Linked DNA regions of Neodiprion lecontei. The main gene of each other region encodes a partner of the protein of the gene in region 2 in a complex. Links are inferred from orthologs where the notes say so. Each region holds a gene or a part of one and is shown on either strand. Other genes may lie near its edges.

The links.
Region 1: the proteins of NADH-ubiquinone oxidoreductase subunit 8 (region 2) and probable NADH dehydrogenase [ubiquinone] 1 alpha subcomplex subunit 12 are in contact, whole or in part, in a cryo-EM structure (PDB 8ESZ), measured with the Drosophila melanogaster proteins. The link is inferred for Neodiprion lecontei from reciprocal best matches to the Drosophila melanogaster genes ND-23 and ND-B17.2. Residues at the interface, in NP_524719.1 of Drosophila melanogaster: Glu85, Pro86, Ala87, Thr88, Ile89, Asn90, Pro92, Phe93, Glu94, Lys95, Gly96, Pro97, Leu98, Ser99, Pro100, Phe102, Arg110, Tyr111, Pro112, Ser113, Gly114, Glu136, Thr148, Arg149, Pro176, Asn177, Phe178, Glu179, Phe180, Ser181; in NP_001137770.1 of Drosophila melanogaster: Arg32, Asn33, Asp34, Asp35, Lys37, Phe58, Tyr59, Gly60, Arg61, Arg63, Trp64, Ile65, Phe67, Tyr75, Asp76, Gly77, Ser78, Ile80, Pro81, Ala82, Glu83, Tyr85, Gly86, Met88, His89, Tyr90, Lys91, Thr92, Cys101, Arg102.

What each region holds. Positions count from the first base shown.
Region 1 is NC_060263.1:15,074,436-15,087,588, forward strand, and holds probable NADH dehydrogenase [ubiquinone] 1 alpha subcomplex subunit 12, read right to left. Parts: upstream 5,407-13,153; 5' UTR 5,146-5,406; coding exon 5,051-5,145; intron 4,901-5,050; coding exon 4,818-4,900; intron 4,155-4,817; coding exon 3,916-4,154; 3' UTR 3,724-3,915; downstream 1-3,723. Other genes in the region: transcription elongation factor SPT5, read left to right, coding at 6,913-7,148, 8,605-8,696, 8,771-8,858, 8,959-9,126, 9,253-9,485, 9,562-10,060, 10,137-10,488, 10,574-10,939 and 5 more.
Region 2 is NC_060262.1:34,783,192-34,796,091, forward strand, and holds NADH-ubiquinone oxidoreductase subunit 8, read right to left. Parts: upstream 5,207-12,900; 5' UTR 5,084-5,206; coding exon 5,053-5,083; intron 4,816-5,052; coding exon 4,551-4,815; intron 4,484-4,550; coding exon 4,291-4,483; intron 3,910-4,290; coding exon 3,778-3,909; 3' UTR 3,554-3,777; downstream 1-3,553. Other genes in the region: vacuole membrane protein 1, read left to right, coding at 1-244, 517-1,035, 1,116-1,385, 1,508-1,639; signal peptide peptidase-like 3, read left to right, coding at 7,466-7,494, 7,639-7,946, 8,206-8,549, 8,684-9,109, 9,277-9,345. UniProt on the Drosophila melanogaster protein: Core subunit of the mitochondrial membrane respiratory chain NADH dehydrogenase (Complex I) that is believed to belong to the minimal assembly required for catalysis. Complex I functions in the transfer of electrons from NADH to the respiratory chain.

The DNA.
Region 1 (13,153 bases), on a different chromosome or scaffold from region 2:
ATTTCGGAGACAAAAATCAATTGACACAAATTAAATTTTTTTCACAAAATACGTATAATGTATAACAATGTCGATATGTTATGTAAATAATTATACAGGTTGATGGTATGTATGTATAATATATATATCGGCATGTCTGGCTAACGAGACGCGTTTCCCCCGCAGCGAAAAGTGAACAATCTTTCAATTATCATTACCATTAGCTAATGATGCATATATTGAAAATCAAACGGCTATTATATTGCCTCATTTTATTTCCTCCTCCTCCTCGTCATCCTTCTCGTCATTATTTCCAACTGTGAACAAATTGTTCAACAACGAATCGTTTCATTTTTCCTTCCCTTATTTTTTATCCTGCAATAAATGCAGATCACTTTATCCTATTTTCAGGCACGAAAACTCAAGTAGGTATACTCTGATATTATACTTCAAAGTACAATGAGTGTTCTCCGCGGAATGCAGGAAACTGTCTCAACGATTCGTAGTTTCCTCTGACGTTATTACTTCTTGTCCGTGAATATCTAATAACTAATTGATTCCTAGAAGTATATGAAGAAGGAGAGAGGACGAAAAAGAGACAGAGACAGAGAGAGAGAGAGCCGTAAATTACGCATTAACACATACCGACCTCCTTCTGTCAAGGGAGAGACAAAATTCTCCCGTTTGTACATACGTAATATCTAATGATAATGGGAATAAAAACGAATACCCCGTTCCTATTATCCGCGTGTCTTCACTATAACTTAGGTGGGTGGTTTAACCGGTGCAAGGTGCGCACGTTCGTATATGTTTATGTGTATATGTAGTACATATGTACACCAGAGTGTACGGTGATTTTTTTTTTAAAAAGAATTAGTGATTCATCGCCGTACATGCGGTGTGTGGTATACATACATATATAAAACGAGAACGATTTCAATGCGTGGAAAACAGGTTTCGTGGGAACCGAGCGAGATTTAATAACATACGAATATGCACTCACAGGTGTTACGAGTGCCCATGTATTTGTATGTACATACGCGTCATAAATGGGATACATATTATATGCACAAAAATTGAAGAATCGGTAGCTAATTTGTGACGTAACGATGCATCGAAATGTTGCAAATAGGAATATATTGTGAACGCGCAACAACCTACATGTATGCAATGCGAATTCCTGCACGAACTACAGAGTCGAAGGAAGACGAAGTCACAGACGAAGAGACGAAGATGACGAATGAAAAGAACGAGGAAGAAACTTTAAAAGAGGAGAAGAAAAACGGAGGGCAAAATCTTTCTGTAGGTACGATAAATTCAGCTTCTCCCATGCTAATTCCAAGGTTAAACAGCAGTCAGAACTTAATCTCCATATTTATATTCTTGGCTGTGAGAAAAAGACGACAGAGTGGCGAAAAGGTGAGGAGGAAGAATCGTGAGTGAAATTAAAAAAAAAAAAAAATAAAAAAAGCCAGGGAAGAAAAAAATGCCCAACATTGCTGTATACATACAAATAGATAAACAAAAAACCGCAAACACGGGAGAAAAAAACAAGAAAAGTACACCCGTAACACCATACTCGAAGTTCTCGAAAGATGTTGCGTTCGCAAAATCAGTTGCAAAAAAAAAAAAATTATAAAAAATGATTGAAAAACTAGAAAATTTGGAATGAATTTTCCTTTTATACGAAAACATGTTTCCAGTTTACGAGGTCTCTTTACCAAATAAAATATGCCTGTCACATATAATATGGAAAATAGATAAAGGGACAGATGAACTTTGTGTGGATAAAATGTTACCCTAACGAAGCAGGTTTGCAGTTTTTAAATGAAAAATTTCTCAAAAGACGATCGCCTTTGAAATCAACTTGGGTAAAGCATCCCTTTTTCCTCGTTCTGATGATTTATGTCTAATTACGGCTAATTGTACAACAGCCAGAGCCTTGAAATAGAGCCGAGGGTGATAATTAATAGGAAGAAAATAAGGATGAGTGGCCACGAAGAAAGGAGAAGGGCGTCACGCTGCTCCTGATATTACTATTAATAAAAGATATATTGAGCAAAATTGATCGTTAATAAATGGACAAACACGAATACCGCTTACGACCGACGGGTAGATGGTTAAAGGCGGATAGTGGAAAAGAGACGAAGAAGGCGTCAACGCACGTATTAGACAGTACAATTAATTGGACGATATAATTGTTCTGCGGTACATGATGTCGCGGGTCAATTGCAAACAGCGGAGAGGGCGCGTATGATAGAATTTCGCAATCTAAATTTTCGGTTCGCTGGGCTTTCGTCGGCAGCGAATTTGTAACTAAACTATTCTTGCCGCGATTCTGTTCGGCGTGTAATAACGTCTGTAAAACGACCAGCGCTGGAAACCATTTTAGAGCCAAAATAGAATTCGAATCGAGAGGCAAACAGGGGCCATGTTGATTTTATACCATAATTCAAATTCATTTATCAAATGGTCGAGTATTTTCTTTTCGACTTTTCGGGTTGGTTTTGGAAACTGACCAGTCACACGTGTTTGACTCGTTCACATCTCAGAACAAATCGTGGTTCCAAGATTGTGCTTTGAAATTCGAGAATTGCATTTGTCTGCGAGAATAATACTCTTCAACTCATATTTACACTGTTTGCCCGACGATGTGGACGCGGTGCGTTCTTAAATTAGAATTACATAGCTGCGTCAGTGTTTAACTTACGCGCGAGCCCAACCCTGTACAAAGTCATTCGTTTCGACTGATTGCTAATTAAGGCACATCACTGGGGTTTCTCGCTGCGCGATCGATAATTCATTAATTTTTACATCAGAATCAGATAAACACGTTTATCGTAACACGTGCCGTAAATATATACATTTATAAAGTATGAATGTAAAAAGAAATTAATGTACCTCCATATACGTGTACGTATATGTATAAAGTGAGGATGAGAAAGTGGCTCATCGGTTGCGAGAGTTCGCGCCAGTTTTCGCCGGACATCACCGGATCCTGCCTGATCACCTTCAGCTTTCAATATGAATGCCGATTCACGTGCATTATGCTTATGCTGTGTGCAATACGTAGATTAAAATTTGTCCTTGCCTCGTCGCCCCATTTCCGATCAATTTTTACTCTTTTTTTTTCTGCAGCACCCATTCTCCTCTTCTCTACTACTACTATCTTCTTCGCATCTCGCGCGTTTTATGTTACAGAACAACGCCAGTTAACTCCTTATTTCTTCACATCGTTTTTTTCTTCTTCACTGTAGTCTTCTTCTTCTTCTTCTTCCACTTCCCTCACCGCCAAATCAGCTGTATGTGAAAGTCAAGGACTCTACGTAATAAGTGCAAAATAAAATCGGCAGCTACGCACGCAATTCATATCTTGAAATACAGCGCATGGTCGTAATTTCTTAATCCCACACCGCGTTATTTTCACTACAATAATAATGACAATAATAATAGAAATAACGTCAATACCGATAATTTGTGTCAATAATATTACTTATTATAACAACAAGTATTATTATTGTTTTCGTTATCAGCAAAAAATAGAGCAGGATCAGATTTGAAAATGCACTGAATTTGGAATAAAATTTTTCTTCTTTACCTTTGTGATATATATATATATATATATATATATATATATATATTAAATGATAAGAAATAAAAATTTGGGAAGATATCAATCATTCAAAGAACACCATGAGGATAGTCTGGTTCATATTTCATATATTGACACAATTTGTAAATATATTGAAGTTAATAGAGATGCGATTTATTTGCAACAATTGTACACACAGCGTACTATAATATATGTTACATATACGAAATAATTTAGCTAAGGGTTTCATTTCTTTTGCTTGTCTCTACGACTACGTTTTTCACGATTGTAATGCTTGTAAATTTATTTTCTACTTTCATCATACTCTAGATTTGGCAATAATCTTACTTGGGTTTCCACGCTTCAATTTTAGGACGAGTCGTACTATAAGGCATGTAAGCATCTCTCGTTCCCGTCATATTTTCTGTATGATCAAGCATCCACTTGTAGTTGGGACGAGATGGATCCTTGTATGGAGGTAGATCAGTCTTGTAATGCAACCAGCCGAACCATTCGGGAGGCACTTGAGATGCGTTGTAGTCTAGACCAACATGATCGGCATATTCAACCCAACGATTGCGTCCTAAAATGGCCCAACAAACGAGTTTTATCAATTACGAAGTTATAGAAAAAGAGAAGCAAACAGTTGGAAATGTTTGTAGTTTCATATTCGTAACAGAATTGTCACAAGGTATTAATTTACACAAGGTCAATATTATGGTCTGGCTCAAGGGCAATCTGGGGCAAAAGTAGGCGGTTATGTAATAAAAAATAAAACAGCCAAGTGAATTTGAAAAGTAGACGACATTGAAGCATTCTTTACTTCTTATTGCTTTCTTTCTCTTCTCCCTTTAACCGGTAAGTGGGTAGAAGAAAAAAGAACAAAGAAAAGAAAAGAAGAGAAGAGAAAAAGAAATTGCTTAAACCCAAGTCTTACAGCTCTTGTTTCAGCTAAGGATTGCGACTAAACAAAGCGTGTGCTTACACCTTTTGTATGCTGGGAATGTTGGATGTTGTAAACATTATTTGAAAATACAACGATATTTGGCTCCAGCTACAGTTAGCATCTTGTGAATCATGTGATGTATTTACTGCGCAGTAATAGCAGGTATAAATGTAAATATAAAACCGGTGATAGAAATTGGGAAAGAAGTAATTGAGAAATCTAAACTTCACCTAAGAACAAGATCGACAGAATAGGGTATAAGATGATGTTTCAGCATTAATTTAACAATATAATAATTACCATAAAAGTGCATGTTATTTTCGAAGTAGCGATTCCCGTATTTGTCCTCGCCAATCAAAGTTCCTGATTTCAATTCATCCCGTCTACAGAAAATAATGATAAAACAAGCGTTGATGGTAATACGTAACTCGAAGAGGCTTATCTTCATATTTTGATAGCATAAATGAACGTTAGTATAGGTTAGGTCGAAACAATATTCGACCAATAGTTAAAAAACGCTGTACGATACAAACCTGTACAGAGCTCGTAATGATCCTCGTATGCCACCATTATCTCTTACAATCTGGAAAAATCTCACGACTTTATCAACTCCAAAAAATTTCGCCATCTTTTTTAAATCAACAACGTTGACTGTCTGCTGCAGCTAGACATGTAAATGTTAACAAATTATGTAAATACAAAATGGCTGCGAGAAATTCGATACGCGGTTTAGAACCATAAGCTAAGCCATAGCTAAGCAATAAAGATGAATGACCAAATGATAGCGAATCTAAAATTTATAGCGATTCTTTAATTTATGTTTGGAATACGATTAAATAGTCTTCAATTCGTCAACATTGAATTTTTGGGATCTTATTGAAGATTCGCTAGTCCCAGAAGTTTGTCCAGTCCTTAGAGCATATACTATTGGAGGTAGCCTCACGGTTACAGAAAGTGTGACAGAGGCATGAGATGGAGTAGTTGTGCCATGTCCGCCATGTACAGCCTGTCTCTCTCGCTCTACAACCTGGTTCGCCGATACCTCTTTTCTCAGCCAATAAAATGCAAAGCGAGAGAGACAGAATATCCAGGGTAACCCGGGGAGCCCGGGGACATACCTATATCTCGCTGTTTCATCACTATGGCCACAGTTTTACGAGGTTACCGACAGCCCCCTGACAATCCAATTTTTTCGAGTCTATTTTGATCTCCCGCGCCACTGCGTGGCGCTAGTAGTCCTGCTCACAATGTGCGGGTCTACGTACGACCCGTTTGAATCTTGTTATTCCAAATTTATTATATAGAAATTACACATACTTATATCATAGCTAGAAAATGAAGTAGGAATTGATACAATAGAACCCTGACTTTATTATTATGTCCGTACATTTAATGGCTTTCCTCGACAATTCCAGGGTTTCGGGATCACACGGCACAGTAAAACAATGTAATTTTTCCGTGTTCGTTTGGTAGACAGAGGTACCGCCCGGTACAACAGGCGAAGGCATTGTAAACGTACGAATAAAAGCAATAAAAATCAGAAAGAACTATAGTTTATATCGGTTATATGCGTTATGTCGAGGTTAGAATCAACGTAAACAATGCTGACAGCAGATTTGCGGGCGGTGATTGTCGCCGGGGGGTGAAGTGGGGGTAGGGGTAGAGCAAGTTACTATCAGCGCTACGTAGCGGCGGGGGACGTTGAGGCGGACTGCCTGTTATATTGAAATCTAGTCGAGTGCCGGGGGGCTAGTTGCCGACATAGGTAGTCTGCAGTAGTCTATGCTCTAAGTACCGTTTCGAGCCAACTTCATACATACGCTTACATTCAGTTTGATTCAGTTACTCAGTGAATCTCGGTGAAGTGAGAGAAGCTTTGATAATTATTATCGAGTTGATTGCGATTGTACCATAATACTGTATTTTTCATAACTGTAACACAGTTGTTGGATAATATTCTTTTTCTGCTGTTAAGGTGAGTAAAATTTTAGAAAAACTTTTCTGGCGATCAACAGTAATTATTCCATACAATTGAAGAAATCATACTTTTGTCTCCATTTTTATACCTCATTCATGAGGTGCTGAGTGTGTATTTACCCACTAAACAAATCTCGGTAGTCCCCTAATTAAGGCTAAGAATCTTTGCCACTGTTGAAAACCGTCCAATTATCAGTGAGAATTTCTTTTCTTCACATTTAACCAGTCAAGTAACCTCACATATGGCTCAAACAGTTTCTAAATTATCTGTTGAAATGTTTACTCAATGCTTCAACTTCAGTACCACTCCAATTTCTTTGCACTATTGAGTATCACAAGCTGCAACCATATTTAAAGCTACTGCAATTATTACTCATGTATTTCAGGAGCGAAATTTCCACACCAAGAAATAAAGAAAATGTCAGATTCAGAGGCTAGTAATTTTTCGGACAATGACAGTGACGCGGGAGGCCGTGGTGGTGGTGGAAGTGAAAGCGAGCCTGAAGACAACCGTTCGGTAAAATCTGGAGTCGGTAGCGACGCAGGTAGTGGACACCGTTCTCGTAGCGTATCGAGAAGTAGGAGCAGAAGCAGATCAAGATCACAATCCAGAAGTCATTCAAGATCGAGATCACGCTCTCGTTCCGGTTCTGGGTTAGTAAATACTAAATTTGTGTTAAGCACCAAGTCATGCACAATAATCTTGTTCTTTTACAAAGGGACTTTATGCCAATGATATTTTTGTAAGTTTTGACACCTATGGTACTGAAAAGTGAGGTCTGAAATAACAATACCCCAAAGCCATTCGACCCCGCCGCATATAGTTTTCGAAAAAATCGATTTTGAATTACTACGAGCGTGTTATGTACATTAAACGGTAAGCATCCGACAGCAAGGTCCGTGGTACACCGGGTAGCGTACCAGGTGAGTAATCGTTGAATTGCTGATAAGTTTTTGCTCACATCACTTACTTGTCGATTTGATCAAATTTATGCTCATTGACAGATATTTCGTGATTTTCAATGACAAAGGCGGATCTTGCTTTCGCTTACCTCTCGTTTCAAAAGTTGGGCTTACTGTTGAAAATAGTAATTCCTAACCTCTAGAGGATCGGAAAACCGATATATCTGCTGACCCTGTGATATAAATTTTGTATATAGTTCATACATGATATCAGACACTAATTTGGGTACTTTTCAAGGGCTATTTTAACTCACAAATCCCGGGCGTCTAAAGGTTAACCAACAATATTTGTGATAAATTAAATTTTCATAAAAAATCTGCCAGCCTTCCTGAAATTCTACAGAAATGTTCTGTGCAGTTGCAGCTGTATCTCGCAAGTAGGTAATACTAGGAAATGGCTCGTTGGCCCATTGTAGGCCCACACGCTAGTATAACGTACCTGCTGAAATTCTTAATATTTGTCATAAATTAAATTTTCATACAAAACCTGCCAGCCTTCCTGAAATTCTGCAGAAATTCTCCCACAAGCCCATAATGGGCCGAACAGCGATATCCTAGAATTACCTACCTGCGGAACTCAGCTGCAATTGCACAGAAGATTTCTGCAGAATTTCAGGAAGGCTAGCAAGTTTTGTATAAAAATTCAATTTATCACAAACATTGTTGGTTAAGAATTACTATTTTCAATGGTAAGCCCGACTTTTAAAGCGAGAGGTAAGCAAAAGCAAGATCTGTCTCTGTCATTGAAAATCATGAAATGTCCGTTGATTAACATAAATTTGATCAAATCCGCACCTAAATAATGTGAGCCGACATATAAAAGAAAAAGTAAATGAATATAAAAAAGTTACTCATGGTAGTTATCGTACCAGCGATCCAGCGATTACTGGCCTAGTATGCTACCCGGTGTGCCATGGACCTTGCTGCCGGGTACTTACCATTTATTGTACATAACACGTTTGTAGTATTTCAAAATCGATTTTCTAGAAAACTGTAGGCCGTGTCGAACAGCTTTGGGTAATTGTTATTCGAGTTCTCACCTTTCAGTACCATAACTATGAAAAATTACAAAAATGTCATTGGTGTAGTGTCGCCTTGTTAAGCCGAAATTTAATTGTGAATAATATTTTTTCTTTCCATGCAAAAGTTCGGATGCTGGAGGTAGCCATCGAGCGGATGAGGCTGAAGAAGCTCATTCTGGTGATGATGAAGAAGTTGAGGCTGAGGAAGAACCAGAAGGTGAGTCTTTAACACAGTTGTGACTGATTTGATAAGGCAGATGTGATTATCGAGATCTCATGTACTTTTTTCAGGGGAAGATTTGGATGGTAGCAGTGATTATGACGAGGAGGAGTACGAGGATGACGACAGACCAAGCCGGAAAAAGAAGAAGAAAGACAAGTCAGTTACATGATCCGATCCATACATTAATTGATGATTTTTTAACTGATAATCCTTAAAGAAATACGGCATGTATTCCGTTTACCTGCTATTCTTACAGATTTGGTGGTTTTATTATCGACGAGGCTGAAGTGGATGACGAAGTTGAAGATGACGACGAATGGGAGGATGGAGCGCAGGAGATAGGAATTGTTGGAAACGAAGTGGACGAATTGGGGCCGACTGCACCTGAAATTGAGGGAAGACGTCGAGGCACAAATCTGTGGGAGTGAGTAAAAGGATAAGGATATAAAAATCAAGAAATACACGGAACAGTTTGCCAAATAACCACATCTATACCTGTGCAATAATCAGTGTTGACCAGTGTCTAACAATAGCTATCCCGCGAATTTAGTTCACAGAAAGAAGATGAAATTGAAGAGTACCTCAGAAAGAAATATGCCGACGAATCTGTCGTTTCGCGTCACTTTGGAGATGGGGGTGAAGAAATGAGCGATGAAATTACCCAGCAAACGCTTTTGCCTGGTGTGAAGGACCCCAATCTCTGGATGGTCAAGTGCCGTATCGGTGAAGAAAAAGCCACCGTGCTCTTACTCATGCGAAAATTCATAACATATCAGTTTTCAGGTACGATGGTTCAATTTCCCAATTGCAATATTTTATTTTTCCATTTGCTAAGCGCTCTTTCCTATTTAATTCGCAGGAGAACCATTGCAAATAAAGTCCGTTGTTGCGCCCGAGGGCGTTAAAGGTTATATTTACATCGAGGCATACAAACAGCCTCATGTAAAGGCCGTTATAGAAAACGTCGGTAATTTGAGAATGGGTATTTGGAAACAACAAATGGTTCCGATCAAGGAGATGACGGATGTACTGCGTGTCGTCAAGGAGCAAACTGGCTTGAAGGCAAAGCAATGGGTTCGTTTAAAGAGAGGAATATACAAGGATGACATAGCGCAAGTGGACTATGTGGATTTGGCGCAAAATCAAGTACATTTAAAACTGCTACCGAGAATAGACTACACGAGACCTCGAGGTGCCCTAAGAACTGCACAAAGTGAATCCGAGGCACTGAAACGCAAAAAGAAAAGACGACCACCGGCAAAACCTTTCGATCCAGAAGCGATCCGCGCAATCGGTGGAGAGGTGACCAGCGACGGAGACTTTTTAATATTTGAAGGGAACAGATACAGTCGAAAAGGGTTTGTTATTTTAATCACTTAAGCTCCGAGTTTCTAACACCAAAAAATTAGGTCTAACTGAACTTTTACCGTTTAGATTTCTCTACAAAAATTTCACGACAAGTGCCATTATCGCCGAAGGTGTTAAACCGACGCTCTCTGAACTGGAGAGATTTGAAGAAGCTCCCGAGGGTATAGACATAGAACTAAGCGGCACTCCGACTACAGGAGTTTCTGCCGGTAAAGAGGATCAGGCAGTTACTCATTCATTCAGTAATGGCGACAATGTAGAAGTTTGCGAGGGAGAATTGATGAATTTACAAGGAAAAATTGTATCAATTGATGGTAACATGATAATGGTCATGCCAAAGCACGAGGAACTCAAAGAAGCCTTAGAATTCCAGGCAAATGAGTTAAGAAAATACTTTAGAATGGGAGATCATGCAAAGGTAATCTTTTTACAAATCTTGGATTCCGTATTTGTATTATCTTTTATTCAAACGGTTCCAAATTGTCAATTTTTCAAATTTGCAGGTAGTAGCTGGTAGATACGAAGGAGACACGGGGCTGATTGTACGTGTCGAACAAAATAGGGTTGTTCTTTTTTCCGATTTATCAATGCACGAGCTAGAGGTACTCCCACGAGATCTACAACTTTGTTCTGACATGGCAACCGGCGTTGACAGTCTGGGTCAATTTCAATGGGGTGATTTAGTACAGCTCGATGTTCAGACCGTCGGTGTAATCGTTCGATTGGAGCGCGAGAATTTTCACGTATTATCGATGAACGGAAAAGTAGTCGAGGCGAGACCTCAAGGTCTTACAAAGCGTCGTGAAAACAGAAACGCAGTCGCGTTAGATTCGCAGCAAAACACGATCCAGAAAAAGGATATAGTGAAGGTATGTTTTCGGATTTTCTAAGAACATCGAGTCCAAAAAATGTATCCAAAATGTTAACACAATTCTCAAATTAACTTGAAAGGTAATCGATGGACCGCACGCAGGCAGAGGAGGTGAGATCAAGCATCTTTACAGAAGTTTCGCGTTTCTGCACTCGAGAATGTATCTGGACAACGGAGGAATATTCGTATGTAAAACTAGACACCTTCAGCTAGCTGGAGGCAACAAAGCTGGAATGGGCCCTGCGATGTCGCCATCGTCCGGATTTATGTCTCCCAGAATCGCATCACCGATGCATCCAAGTGGGTAGGTATCTAAAATGAGAATTCTTGCCGCAAAAATCGTATGTACTTCTCTCAAGAAAAATTTAACCAATGAATTTACGCTCTCATTTAACCAGTGGCGGGTTCGGAAGAGGTGGCGGAGGTGGCGGAAGAGGCAGAGGCCGAGGTGGAGGTGCGAGACGTGACAGAGAGCTGATCGGAACAACGATAAAGATAACGGGTGGGCCATACAAAGGTAACGTTGGAATAGTAAAAGACGCAACAGAGAATACGGCGCGTGTAGAACTTCACTCGACGTGTCAAACGATATCTGTGGATCGTTCACACATTGCGAACGTTGGCGTGCCGACCAAGGATGGTGGATTCAGTAGCTACAACCGGACCCCGGCTTACACGGCCGGTGGTCAGACTCCAATGTACGCTAGAGATGGTTCAAAGACTCCGATGCACGGTTCGCAAACGCCGATGTACGAAAGTGAGTACTGAAAAAATCTAAAACACCGTTTATACTACGGTGAATGATCAGTGAAAACACAACAGTGGCAAATGTCATTCAACTTGTTCTATTTTTGCAGACGGCTCGCGCACGCCTCATTATGGCTCGATGACCCCTTCGCACGACGGTTCTCGTACCCCTGGTCAATCAGGAGCATGGGACCCGGCTGTGACAAACACGCCAGCGCGAGCGAACGATTTCGACAATTACAGCATGGAAGAAGGAGGGTCTCCGGGTTACGCTCCTGGCTACCCTTCGACTGGCGGTCCGTTCACACCCCAAACACCCGGGACAATGTACGGTTCAGAGCAGAGCTACAGTCCCTATCAGCCGAGTCCTAGTCCGGCTGCAAGCGCAAGCGCAAGTCCGAGTCCAGCCGGTTATGTGGCCACCCCATCTCCCTCGGGAACTGGATACACTACGAGTCCGCACGGCGCGTTTGCATCGCCGTCACCGATGGGTTATAGCCCGATGACGCCTGGTAAATTAATAAAAATTTATGGGAAATTCTCTGCATGTTTTTTTCCACTAGTTCAAACTCCTTTGTATAATTTTTTCACTCGAATATACAGGCGTTGCGGGCAGTCCTTACAACCCTCAAACACCCGGCGCCGGACTTGACACTGGGGCTAGTAGTGGTATGATGATGGGCTCGGAATGGCATACCCCGGATATAGAAGTACGGATACGCGATACTCACCAGGATCCGGCTCTAGCAGGACAGCAAGGAGTAATCCGTGGAATATCGGTAAGTTATACTTGAGTGAAAAACGTCACAGTCGTCAACAAATTACATCAGCTTTAAACTTTCACCATTGCAAGAAGATTAAGAATGTGCACAAACTGATACCAAAATCATTACGTAATATCGCTTAGTTTCTTTGTAACAAATAAACTATTCCACATTTTTTTTACAGGGTGGTATGTGCGCAGTTTTTCTGCCTGCCGAAGACAGAGTGGTGAATCTTTTATGCGAGCAACTAGAGCCTGTCGTTCCATCTCGCGGCGATCAGGTCAAAGTTGTCGTCGGCGAAGATAGAGAAGCAGTAGGAATTCTTCTTTCTATTGATAATCAAGAAGGGGTCGTTAAACTTAGTACAGACGCTGTTAAGATGCTGCACCTGCGATTTCTGTGTAAAATGAAGGCTTCTACGACTTAATAAGCTATCACGAGTGTCTTGTTACAGAGTCGGATAATACGTTGCATTCTCAGTTTTTAAAAGAGACCCGTGCAGACGTTAATCTTAGGAAATAAGTTATTTTAGGGGCAATTCGTTCCGCGTCGAATATCTACAGCAATCTTAGTCTTATGTACCACGCAAAGTTTGATACAAGTTAATACAATAATTCTACTGGAACAGATCAATTTTAGTATGAAAAGAAAATGTAAATAAAGTAACGCTGCCCACAAAAAGGATTCAAAAATCTTCATTC
Region 2 (12,900 bases):
ATCCTCCCATACTTCACAATCGCATTTGCATTCCAACCAAAACAGTGATTTGGATGTAGATCCCGATAGCTTAACGCTATGGCATCATCCAATAAAAACATTGAACTTTTTTCTACAAGAATTACTTATCAATGTTGTTAGTTTAACAAAAAACACTTTCAAATATAGAAAAACAGTATGGAGTATAATAATGATCGCCGGATTATTTTTACTTTCGAGCAGAGTCTCTGGACCACAACAACAGGTGAGATTATATTTTTGAATATCCATATAACTATGATTAATACCAAAACTTTAGATAATTTTTAATATATTTAGATATTACTAGACCTTTATTAAACAATGAGAACAGAGCATTGAAGTTTCATATTTTCTTCTGCAAAATTCTAGTGTGTAGTTTCGAAACAAAAAAAAGAGCACCACAGACTTATATTAAATAAATAATAGATTTCAATGTAAAAATATATCTATCGTACAAGTGGATCAACCCGAACTTATTTAACCTGGTTACCACAGCTGTTTAAATCCTGGGAGGCCACCGTCGTATGGTGGTTCTACTGGGTAGGACTAGGCGTATTATCGAGCGTTGGCCTGGGAACTGGGCTTCACACTTTTGTCTTGTACTTGGGACCTCACATAGCCTCTGTGACGATGGCAGCTTATGAATGCGGAGGGTTAAATTTTCCCGAGCCTCCTTATCCAGACCAGATCGTGTGTCCATCTACAGTAGATCCAGCATGGACGGCCAGCGTCTTGAATATCATGAGAAAAGTACGCATTGAAGCAATGCTGTGGGGTGCTGGTACAGCTTTGGGGGAATTGCCACCTTATTTTATGGCACGAGCTGCACGACTTAGTCGGCAAAGCGATAAAGATCACGACCAAGGTCAGGATCAAGAAGAGTTGAGAGAACTCGAAGCATTGGAGGCACTGGAAAATGGAGAAAAATGTGTTTCATTGGGAATGCGTGCCAAACTAGCAATGAAACATTTTGTCCAAAAGGCTGGCTTCTTAGGAATACTTGCTTGTGCATCGGTAATTTTACAATACCCAATATCCATTTATTTCACGATAAAAGTGAAACTTGCGATTGTAATTAAATATTTGCATTATAGATACCAAATCCGTTGTTCGATCTTGCCGGATTAACTTGTGGACACTATCTTATTCCATTCTGGACTTTTTTTGGTGCAACACTAGTCGGAAAAGCTGTAGTAAAAATGCACATACAGCAATTAGCAGTAATTGTGGCATTCAACGAGGAACTTTTAGATAAAGTAATTGCTTTGTTAGCAATTATTCCAGTCATTGGCCCAAAGTTTCAAGAACCCTTGAAGCGGTATCTTATTGAACAGAAACAAAAATTGCATGACAAATCCTCTATAGTAAGTATCAAAATAATGATCAATATTATGTTGATTTGGTATCTTATTTTACTTAGATTTCGAATGAATGCAATTTATTTCGGCTATGCAAATACTGTATAATCAATGATTTGCACTTTTAGGAAGGATCTACAACAATTTCTTGGCTCTTTGACAAGTTCGTCATGTTGATGGTGTGCTACTTTCTCGTCACAATTATACATGCTTTGGCACGTAACCACCATCGTCGACGTACAAAGTCGTCAACTGATTAATCTTTAGAAGAAAATTGAACACGGACTGAAAAATAACTCTTAAACGGTGGGAGGTAGCACTGATGGAATAGAAACTTACACCATAGGCAAAGACGTGCATAGATGATTCGAGTATTTTCCAAAAATGAAAAGAACTACTCGTCGATTATTATGCGCAGAAATGAACAATGACTAACAGATATCATGTGAGATATCATTTCATATTTTGATACCTATGTAGCTAGGTTAGCCAATCTAGGTATACATGTTAGAGCGGATACTAAAAAGAATGGTTTGCTCAATTGGTGTGCTACTAGCAATGAGTGAAGATCATGTTGTTAGTTGGGGCTTATTCTGGTAATACAGAAAGGCAAAATTATTTATTATTTCCTAATTACAAATGTCATTGAGAGGGTGATTTTTTTTTTCATAAATAGTACTTTTGGGTTTAAGGTAGTACATATAAGTTGAGCCTGGTACATCAATAGACATGTCCAGCTAAACATGGCATAAAAACTAAGTACATGTCGCAATGGGATGCTTTCTGAAGTTACTGAAGCGACACAAAGTCTACTATATGAATTGGTATTTCATTTTTACATTGTCCGTATGCTTATACTGTACCTAATAGCCAATATCACAACAATATAAACTTTCCATTTTTAATGGAAGACTTGTGATTTTCAAGAACTTGATAAATGATGTTATTTAAAGACTTCAATACACTCGTCGCACGTAGTATTTGTGTTGCGTCAAAGTAATCCACATCGACATATAAAGGCCTTGATCATTATAGACATAAGCATAGTTAATTTATGAACTGTAACAGTCCACGGTAATCTTAATGCGTCAATATAGTAATGGAACCGCAGAACCATAGGACAAATCATAAATTGGATTTTTATTTATCCTAAAGCCAGATCCCTACATTTGATGCAGTATTACGCAGTGATTTCATGGTGGGAAAATAAAAGAAAATCAACGGTATTGTGAGTAAGAAAATTTTGCGTGCTTGATCTGCAAAAAGTAAGAAGTCATAAAGATACCACTACACTTTTTGTATGAACGCGGGGATTTTCATATATAATAGTTATTTGTAATATAGGCATCTCTGTATCTAATTCAAATTTTTTTCATAAAATCACAAAAGATTTAAAAATCATTGGACACACACTCACACTGTATGGGTGAATCGTTATTTTCAACCGTGTTCTTGGGCGTAAATGGTAACATCTAAAAGTAAGGAAGCGAAATATGCAATTTGAAAGAAATCTATAAAGACATAGTTAGATAAGAGGCGGATATTGTCTGCCATTTGTATTACTCAAACGATAAAATAGGTCATAGGCTAGGCATTATTATCAAACTACTAGCGAACAATTTACTATCCTGATTTTTAACATGGTGTTGCAGATAGAAAAAATCGAACATCAGTACCTATTGAAATACATTTTCGATATTTTTTAAAACTACATCCGACCGGAAAAAAAACAATTATAGAATTCCGTAAAAGTGATTTAATTTAAATAGCTACGGGAATCAATTAGGTAATACCATTATGGTGAAGCAATGAATTATGTCGCACCGATTAGAACGGTCAACAAGAAACTAAGAACGTGTTCAGCAGAATGATTGTTAATAAATGACATTCTTCATTAGAATAAAATTTAGTTCCAAAATTACAACTAAATAATGTGTACTGTATCAGGTGATTAGAATATTATTTGATCAACACATTATTGTTGTTTATATATATTGTTGTTATTATTGATATGTAATTATTATTTATTATTATAGAAATAAGTGGCGTGCTTCCCGAGTAATCTGTGTAATGTAAGTGTGAAATGTCTGGACACATTCGTATGCAATTGAATATGATTAAAAATAAAAGGTATAGTAATTTAAAAAAAAAGAAAAAAAAACTCAAAACAGACAATCTGTCTAAAACTTTTATTTTTCAAGTTATCATCGACGTACTGCTTCACAGAGTTTGGGGCAAGGAGCATTTGGTGACTCCCTAATTACAAGAGTAGCCATTGCCTACTGTATTGCAAGTTAAAATAAGTAAGTAGTATTTACATTCAACAACAGCTTGTATTATTTTACTAGATTTTACGTTTATTTGGATTTTACAAGATGACTAAGTAGTTGAACTTGGTTCAGCGATAAAGGTGATCTGCTTGAATATTTGCAGCTATTTCAGATTCCCATTTATCTCCATTGTTGAGTAGCTTCTCTTTATTATATAACATTTCTTCGTGAGTTTCAGTGGAGAACTCGAAGTTAGGTCCCTGAAGAAAGAATTAATAATTGAATTTCATTAAATTATAAATGAAGTTCCAGTTAGCAACAGAACGTGTTTAATTTTTTTTTTTAACAGAATAATGCCTTATTTAATGCCTTCTCTTCGTCTAATACCTTTACAAAATGCCATCTTTTGTATAAAAGTATTAACTTTCTGTGAGAGTGATCAATATTTCGAATCTTAGATGTCAATAGTTCATTTCAACGAAAACTAGTGCGCTCATTCGTTAGCATAAAGTATGCTTAGGCTGATTTTTGATAGTGTATCAATTTATATCGTGTTCATAACCTTAAGCGAAACGAAATGTTACTAAGGCAATCAAAAGTCAAATGAGGTAAGATTTAAAAATATGCCTATTCTTTCATACCTCCACGATGGCATCAACAGGACAAGCTTCCTGGCAGAACCCGCAATAAATGCACTTGGTCATATCTATGTCATAACGAGTTGTGCGTCTAGAACCGTCTGGCCTTTCCTCTGCCTCAATTGTAATTGCCTGAGCTGGACAAATAGCCTCACATAGTTTACATGCGATACATCTTTCTTCGCCTGATGGGTACCTTTACAAAATTTTAGTAATGATAACAACTTGACTAATAACAAGTGATTAAAGCTTGAAATAGTCACCTTCTTAGCGCGTGCTCTCCTCTGAATCTAGGGCTTAAAGGTCCCTTTTCAAAAGGATAATTTATAGTAGCTGGTTCTCTTAGCAAATAAGAAAAAGTGATTCCCATTCCTCGAAAGATTTCTAAGAGGAACATATTGTTCACTGCGCGATCCGTAACATCATTCCATTCCATCGACTCCTCTGGTGGAGTAACAATGTAGTACTTGTTCCGAATCGAAGGACTGGTAGCAACTGCACAGCGAGCTGCACCCAGAAGCTGCTTACCTAAAATTCAGATATTTTTCAAAAGACGTATGTAAATTTCTTTAGAAGATATTGCCAAATAATAGTAAAATTAGTATTTCATAACGGTTTTGAGGTTATGAACCTATTACACAATAATCTTCACTTTACACAGAACTTGGTTAATGGATTTCGACTTCAAACAAAGGCCATTGGCCAGAACGTAAAATTTTATTCAATGACAATTGTGTTTGCGGGTTTTAATGAAATTATTATTACCAGTCTGTCGAAAGATCTGCACGGTCGCCATGGCCGCTACCTTTTAAAAAAATCTGTGTGCCAATGCGAGTGAAGTTAACAAATTTCATGTGAGTGTTGGTACAACGGCTGGAGGGGCGAAAGAAGAAATACGCATGCATGCGCAATTCGTAGTGCATTCGAAAAATGGAAAGTTCAATTTTATGATTCTATTTGAGGGATAATAAGTTATCAGTTATCACGAAACCACGGTCGGTTTTGGGTAATGTGCTACGCAGTTAACGTCGAGTAGCATGAAAAAATAATTCACTGTGCATTAAGTGATGGGCCAAGGATAAAATAATGCCCAAATTTTGCGTTCATCTGAGACAACAGTCGGCTCGTAATTATAACGTTGTTTTGCCAGTGCCGTACATATTTATATAACATAATTCGCACACAATTGTGCGGCTTTCTATTTCCTAATTAGCTGTATATAGTTGAGACCGCACAATCTTTGCACAGACAGCATGTTTCTATAATATCAACTGATATCATACAAATTACTACACATAATAGTACTATCACAGCATAATCAGCGGGCTACGCGTGAAAATCCATCATATCGTATTAAAATAACGTGAATACGATCATGTCTAAACGCAACATGTGCAAAGGTTGCATGTGTACAGGCATGTCATGCCGAGGCACACCGCGTAAACGCATTGCACAGTCGAGCTGCGCCTGTCAGCGGTAGGTAGCTTCACTGCTGAGGTCCCGTATTCCCGATTTCACGCTTGGTGGGTTAGATTGTTGTGTCAATTCCTCGGAAGTTTTTATTCTCGGTGCATGGTGGACGGAAAATATTTTCATAAGTATCGATGAGGTGATTGGCGTGTAATTATTTATCTCTATTCAAAGACCCAATCTCGGTATGACATAGGGTAGGGGAAGTTGGCTCGATGAAAAATTTCGACAAGAGAAATCCGATCTAGGGTATCAGCAAGAGCCTCGTTCCTTACTCCATGGTGCCAAAGGGTCACGTGACCCTTATGTTTACCAAAATGGTGTTCTTACTGTTTTGCAAGAATTTTTAAGTTCTAAAAATGATTAAATAAGGTCCCGCCTATTGTTTCCGAGTGTTAATGTCTCATTACTGATACCCAACGGATGTCCTTTCTCGCATCAGTTACGATGCGAATGTTTTCAAGACGAACTAGCATCGTTGAACTACCGAGCATTCTCTCAATCAACACGGAACTGCTGAGCAGAAATAGACTAGATAAACTGACTAGATTCTTCCATTTTCGCCACCTTTCGCTCATTATCCACCGTTCACGTTATTATCGAGTATTTATCTTACAGCTGTGATTTTTTTGTCATCTCATTGTAGAATTATCACGGACAATGAACTCCATTTTGGGTGCAACTTTACGGTGTGTATTTGTGTGGCAGGTGCTAGACGAAGGTCTTGAATGGCTTTAAAGAACTACACGGTACTGCACCTGCTGTTATGCTGAGATTCTTTAATTCTAGGTAATGTGCTATAGTTTGCTGTCAATATAATTTTTTTTTTCTCCATCTTTATTCTCTTTACGCTTACCACTGATGCTGCTTACCAACATTGTTTCACATGTTGTGACTGTTGTACATATCTACAATATTAGTTCAAGCTCACCTGCTTTTGTTGTGATTCTCTCGAATGAATTCGTGTCAATGAAGTTCAAAAGGACAAGTCGACCCTGTTATTTACACTTCAGGACGGCACGTCTTTTTAAGTTTGCGGCTGATAAACTTTTCAATGTGTACATAGCTATATGACTGCACCAATTGTGCACACAGATCTAACAATAACATTTCACCTGAAAAAATTTCAATTGTTAAAAAAATAGCGAGTTCAATTTACATAATAAATTAAGTAAATTCAATGTTATTATAATTAAGAACAATCTATTGGGTTTCAGTTCAGTATCGTCCTTACTCATAAATACAGCAGTTCAATACAGATGAATAGTATGATTATTGTTCATTATTTTACCCCTTGGTCATTGCACGAGTACAAAGTTAGTCTTATTGCCAGAAAACTTTAAAAATATAAATCCCAATATCAACTTTTAAATCGATTTGGCCTAATATACAGATCTAGTGTTCAATTCAGTTTGATACATTCTTGAATAATTATATTGCATATTTTGTTATGTCCGTTTTGAATTAGCTGGAGTAAAATTGGCGATGACTGAACAAACTGTAGAATTAAAAACTTTCTTTGTTAACTATATTTTATATTTATGAAATACAGTTTTCATTCATCTTCCGCTGATTCCTATTGAACTTTGTTTTCAGCTGTGGCTGTAGATGATCTAAGGAACCACTCAGCTCGGATGGAAAAGGAAATCTAAATGACACGCAGTGTTTCAGTATAGCATTTAGAGCTACGGCCATAGGCTCGTCAAAGATGGCCACAAATCAAGTGGATTATCAGTGGTGAGTACAAAAAGTTTTGTCAGTCATGAGTCAGATGTGAAATATTTATTTAAATGCACGATATAAATACATAGGTATGCATAATAGAAAATATGGTTATAAGACGCCATCAGATATACAAATAGCTTTTTCACATTTTTACAGGGCTTATTCCATCATGGATTCTTCCAGAGTTTCAACATTTTTGATATCAATTTTGTTGATTGTATACGGCAGTTTTCGATCACTAAACATGGAACAAGAAGCCAGAGAAAGAGAGAAAGAGAAAGAACGAACTAATTTGCTGTCAGGAATAGTTAGCACGGGACCTTCCGATTGTGCTAATGGCGGAGGCGTTCAAACTCTAGAAACTATGCACGCTCTATGTTTGCCTCTCGGAGCTTCAGTTTCCCTTCTGATCATGTTCTTTTTCTTCGACAGCATGCAAATGCTCTTTGCAATATGCACTGCAAGTGAGTATTACTTTAATATGCAATAGTTTATTCGAAAAGAAAAGATAAATTTTCATTTTTCCTCCCAATCCCTCATACATACAATACGTATGGTTTATACATAATAATCAAACTGTGCTGTTTGTGTACTAGAAGTAAATTAATCGTTGATTAGCTCACTTAAATTTTTCTCAGATGAGAATGTTGCCACCTCAGTATAATCGAAAATTGGAAATTTCACTGCCAAAGCATTGAAAACATTTTCATGTTTTTGTTCCAGTTATAGCTACGGTAGCGCTGGCTTTCTTGCTGTTACCAATGTGTCAATATATCATCCGACCTTGTTCTGATGGGAACAAAATATCGTTTGGTATGTGTGGGAGATTCACAGGTGCGGAGCTACTGTCATTTTCCCTGAGCGTGAGCATCGTGTGCATCTGGGTACTCACTGGTCATTGGTTGTTGATGGATGCCATGGGAATGGGTCTGTGCGTCGCATTCATAGCATTTGTCCGATTGCCAAGTCTCAAAGTTTCCACTTTACTTTTAACGGGACTCCTCATATATGATGTTTTTTGGGTCTTCTTCTCGTCCTATATATTCAGCACAAACGTCATGGTTAAGGTTGGTACTTGGCTTACAGGTGATCAAAACCACGAACTTTCATGCAGATAATGTTTAGATTTCTACGAAAGATGATTATACTTTATTTATTATTGTATCCAAATATTCATTACATCAACATTTATCTTCCACAGGTCGCAACACGCCCTGCAGATAATCCAGTCGGTTTGGTGGCACGTAGATTGCATTTAGGAGGTGTAGCCAGAGAAGCTCCTAAACTCTCTCTACCTGGCAAGCTAGTATTCCCATCTATGCATCAAGCAGGGCATTTTTCAATGCTGGGTCTTGGAGACGTGGTTATGCCAGGTTTACTGCTCTGTTTCGTCCTACGTTATGATGCATATAAAAAAAGCCAGTTATTGCCGGGCGGTTGTGAAACAGGTGTTCCTCCGCCACGCCATTTAAGTCGCATTAGTTACTTCCATTGTTCGTTGATTGGCTACTTTCTTGGACTACTCACTGCAACCGTCAGTTCCGAAGTCTTCAAAGCAGCCCAACCAGCACTCCTCTACCTCGTACCTTTCACACTACTGCCACTACTTACCATGGCTTATCTGAAGGTAATAATTTTAATGTTTGGTACGCTTGAACGTATTCTTCTTTCCCTCTCAATGAGAAATGGGAAGTAGTAACCAAATCTTTACTCAATGAAGAATGTTGATTTCATTTCTACTACAATTAACTGTTTGATATTTTTATTGAAGGCTCCTAATTTTATACATTACAGGGGGATTTACGTCGCATGTGGAGTGAACCGTTTATAACTCATCCACCTTCGAAACATATGGAAGTTTGACAGCTGTCACGATCCATGCCAAATCACAATTTCCACCACATAAACATGTATCGTGAGAATTTCGCTGTCATTCAAGATCATTATCTTTTTTTCATCAACATCATTTTGTGTAAGTAATTTTTTTCCCCATTTACTATTTTATTCATGCGCAGTGGAGTAGCGCATAAGTGCAGTGTCGAATTTGAAAAAGAAGAAAGAATTGTTTGTGTTATTACTTTTGACCCAAAAAAAATAATGAAACAATAATTGACGTCAGAGAATCTATGCAATTGGACTGCTTGTTAATAATCAATCGTTGTATTATGGGTAGATTGTATAGTTCAATTTAATTTTTTCTGACATTACTAGCTGGGGAAAATGGTACTGGATTACAGGAGAACTAATAATTAGCAGTTTATTGCAATTTCTAGTTTTCGCATTTTACACGTGATATAGGTAATTTATTATTATGTATCTCAATTACTTAATTTGGCTTTGAAGTGATTAAGAGTTATATGACATGTAGAGATAATTATCTTGCATGTCGACTTTGGTTTTAACGTGTAATTACAGTAATACCTATTCTAAATTTAATAACAATAGAAAATGTTTCCTTCAATTCCTCAAAAACCCAAAAAATATACACGTTGGTGCACTGTACGACACAGCTGCATGTATCAAAATTATACGTATATTACTTCAAGTCCCTTTTTCAAAAGTAAATCTACAAAAATATGGTTTGTGGCAAAAGGTATAATTATACGGTTTAATAGAATAACAACTGTGCAAAGTTTATATTAGAATAGATTTTGGTCATTCTACTGTTTGCTTTGTTAATATAGTATTTCTTAAACCTTACAAAATATTTTCAAAAGTCATTTCTTTCATTTAACGCAATAATGTCACGAGCATTTAAAACATTCAATGAATTTGTATGATCGATTCTGAAATATAATGTGATGGTAGACTTGTATAGCATTCTGTAGCTAAAACTCATTAACGTAATAGAGCAAAACAAAAATTTGCTAATGTGAAGAATTTTAATTCACATTCATTTTTGTGAAAATCATTTTCTGAGTTGTAATCTAAAGTTATGCGTGATTTATGATAAGTATTATCATTCATTAAGCGTATTTCATTTGTTATATTGTTGAATATTTACGTTAGATTGTTGCACTCTCCAGCAATTTAGAGATTATATCAGATAGATCATTTGGTAAATTTGTTACTGTTGGTGGCATCCCAGAATTTCTAAGACTGCCGGTGCAGATTTAGTCAAATTAGGTATTTATCGAGAAGCTGAGTCAGCGAACAGATTAATTTTTTTATTTTTATACTATTAATTACTCCCTGTCATCCAGTACCTTTTGGTCTATCATACTATTATTTGAATGTAAACACTAAAGGTACATAATTCATACAGAAAAAATGTGTTTTAATTTATTATGGAACGATTATAATTTGAAAGTGTACGTAACATATTATTAGAGTTATGACTATAAGTGATCATTTGACGATTTCGCAAGTGCATCCAGTGAAGAAGTGTGCAGGTTGTGACTTTATTTTAAAACCGCTTTAGTTTCATACAAAACAACTTTTCTGTACATACATACATATATACATGCATACATACATACGTACGTACATAAGTACATACATAGGTAAATACACGCACACACACATATATGATAATTTTTAATGTTTTAAGATTATCTAGAATTATCCGACATCGCAAAAAGTTGAAGTTATTTAAGTAAAATTGTTGCACGAAGTTACGGACAAGGAAAGAAATCTCTTGCATTGGAAATATTAAATATTTCCCTACATAAAAGTCTACAAAAAAATATTGAATTTCATCATTTTCAGGAGCAATAAAAGTAGGTAACGAAACATAATTGCTTGTGTGACAACGGTAGTACGCGATTTTGGTGAATATAATATTGTTTCTTGATATTGAAGAAAATTGAGGCACACTCCTTATAGCTCGTCGAGTTATTCAGTCAAGTTAGAAAATTTATTATAACGTGTTATCAATGGGTAATCTATGGTTCTTTCTATCTATGAATCCCCTGAATGCATTTCAGCAGTTATGCACATACTAGTCTTACCCCAATTCATACGTTAATTATCAGAAATTACAGCGTGCAAACCTAGAATAACAATCAACTATTCTGTAACTTACATCTGCAACTTTATTTATTTGCTAACTTAATATTAGCACAGAAAAATAGATCCTATATAAGTAAAATGATGTGTTGATATTAATGTTTTGAGAAGAAATCGATTTGAATTTATTCAAAAGTAAAATGAATGATCACACACAATGATATTCAAATTACTTTTGGAATAAAATAAATATATATACATATACATGAATTCATACATGTATTGAAAATATTCAACTTTCTCCTTGCCAGATATTTCGAACAAACATCGTACCCTTGCAAGAGACTGCTACGTTTCACTTATTGACTTAATTTTAAAATGAGGAATATGTGGAGAATGATGAATTAAGGTCAAACATTAAAATAACACTTGTATATGAAGAATTGCATCTTTGTCAATAATACCTAAATCAATAGGTTCATTATTACATGAGAAACATTGATAAAAAAACTTTAAGCTCCTGTGTGCCGACCAAGCCAAGCAAATGACGGTTCATTGATCATCAGAAAAATAGTATTTTGACATCAAATTACGTGTTGATATTGAAAAAATAGAGTTTAAGTATATATAATATGTACAATCAAATTTTCTTAAGTCTGTTACAACTCAAAGACGACTCTTATGTCTTTAAAAAAATTAAACACTGTTGTTGATCTATAATCTATAACCAAATGCATCAAAAATGTGGTTTAGAATTACAATCTCAAGATTCTAAATTATCATACAAATGCAATGCTTGATTAATTTATTGAGATTTCAAAGTTTTAAAAGATAGCATATCGTTCATTGCATGAACTTCACCCTTACTGTCAGCAGTTACTTGATATTATGTAATTTCAATATAAAATTGAAAGTTGACCAGAATGGTTGACTCTAAATGCCAAACATAATGTTCCATAAATTAAACTTTGTGTTCCAATAGCTTTATAAATTTATTTTGGACCTCACTAAATTATAATTGCTTCCAATTGTATGACAGAAATCTCAGATCTTTAACCCTCGAACGGTACACTTTCACAGCCGATCACTAACCGTACCCTTGAGTGTTTGCCACCCGACCGACTTCAAGATACGATGATTTCAGCTGCAATCAAGATTTCTTCATAAATCCAATGCATAATTGTCTGTTAAACGATTAAAAATGCAAGGGAGTAGGATAAAGTCGAATATCGCAACAATTGGTTATAAATACATATGAGTCATTGAAGTCTGGCGACTGAAAGCATTACACAATGGAAAAAAGAGCTGGGTATGCCACACCAAGTGTAACGTTCCTGGGTTAATTTTGAGCAATTTTCTTGCAGGGGGCGACAAAACTACCATAGAGATTATTCATGACCATAAGACTAAACGTTAGTTTATAAAATACATGAGAAATAATACATGTTCAAATAACCCAGATACATACTA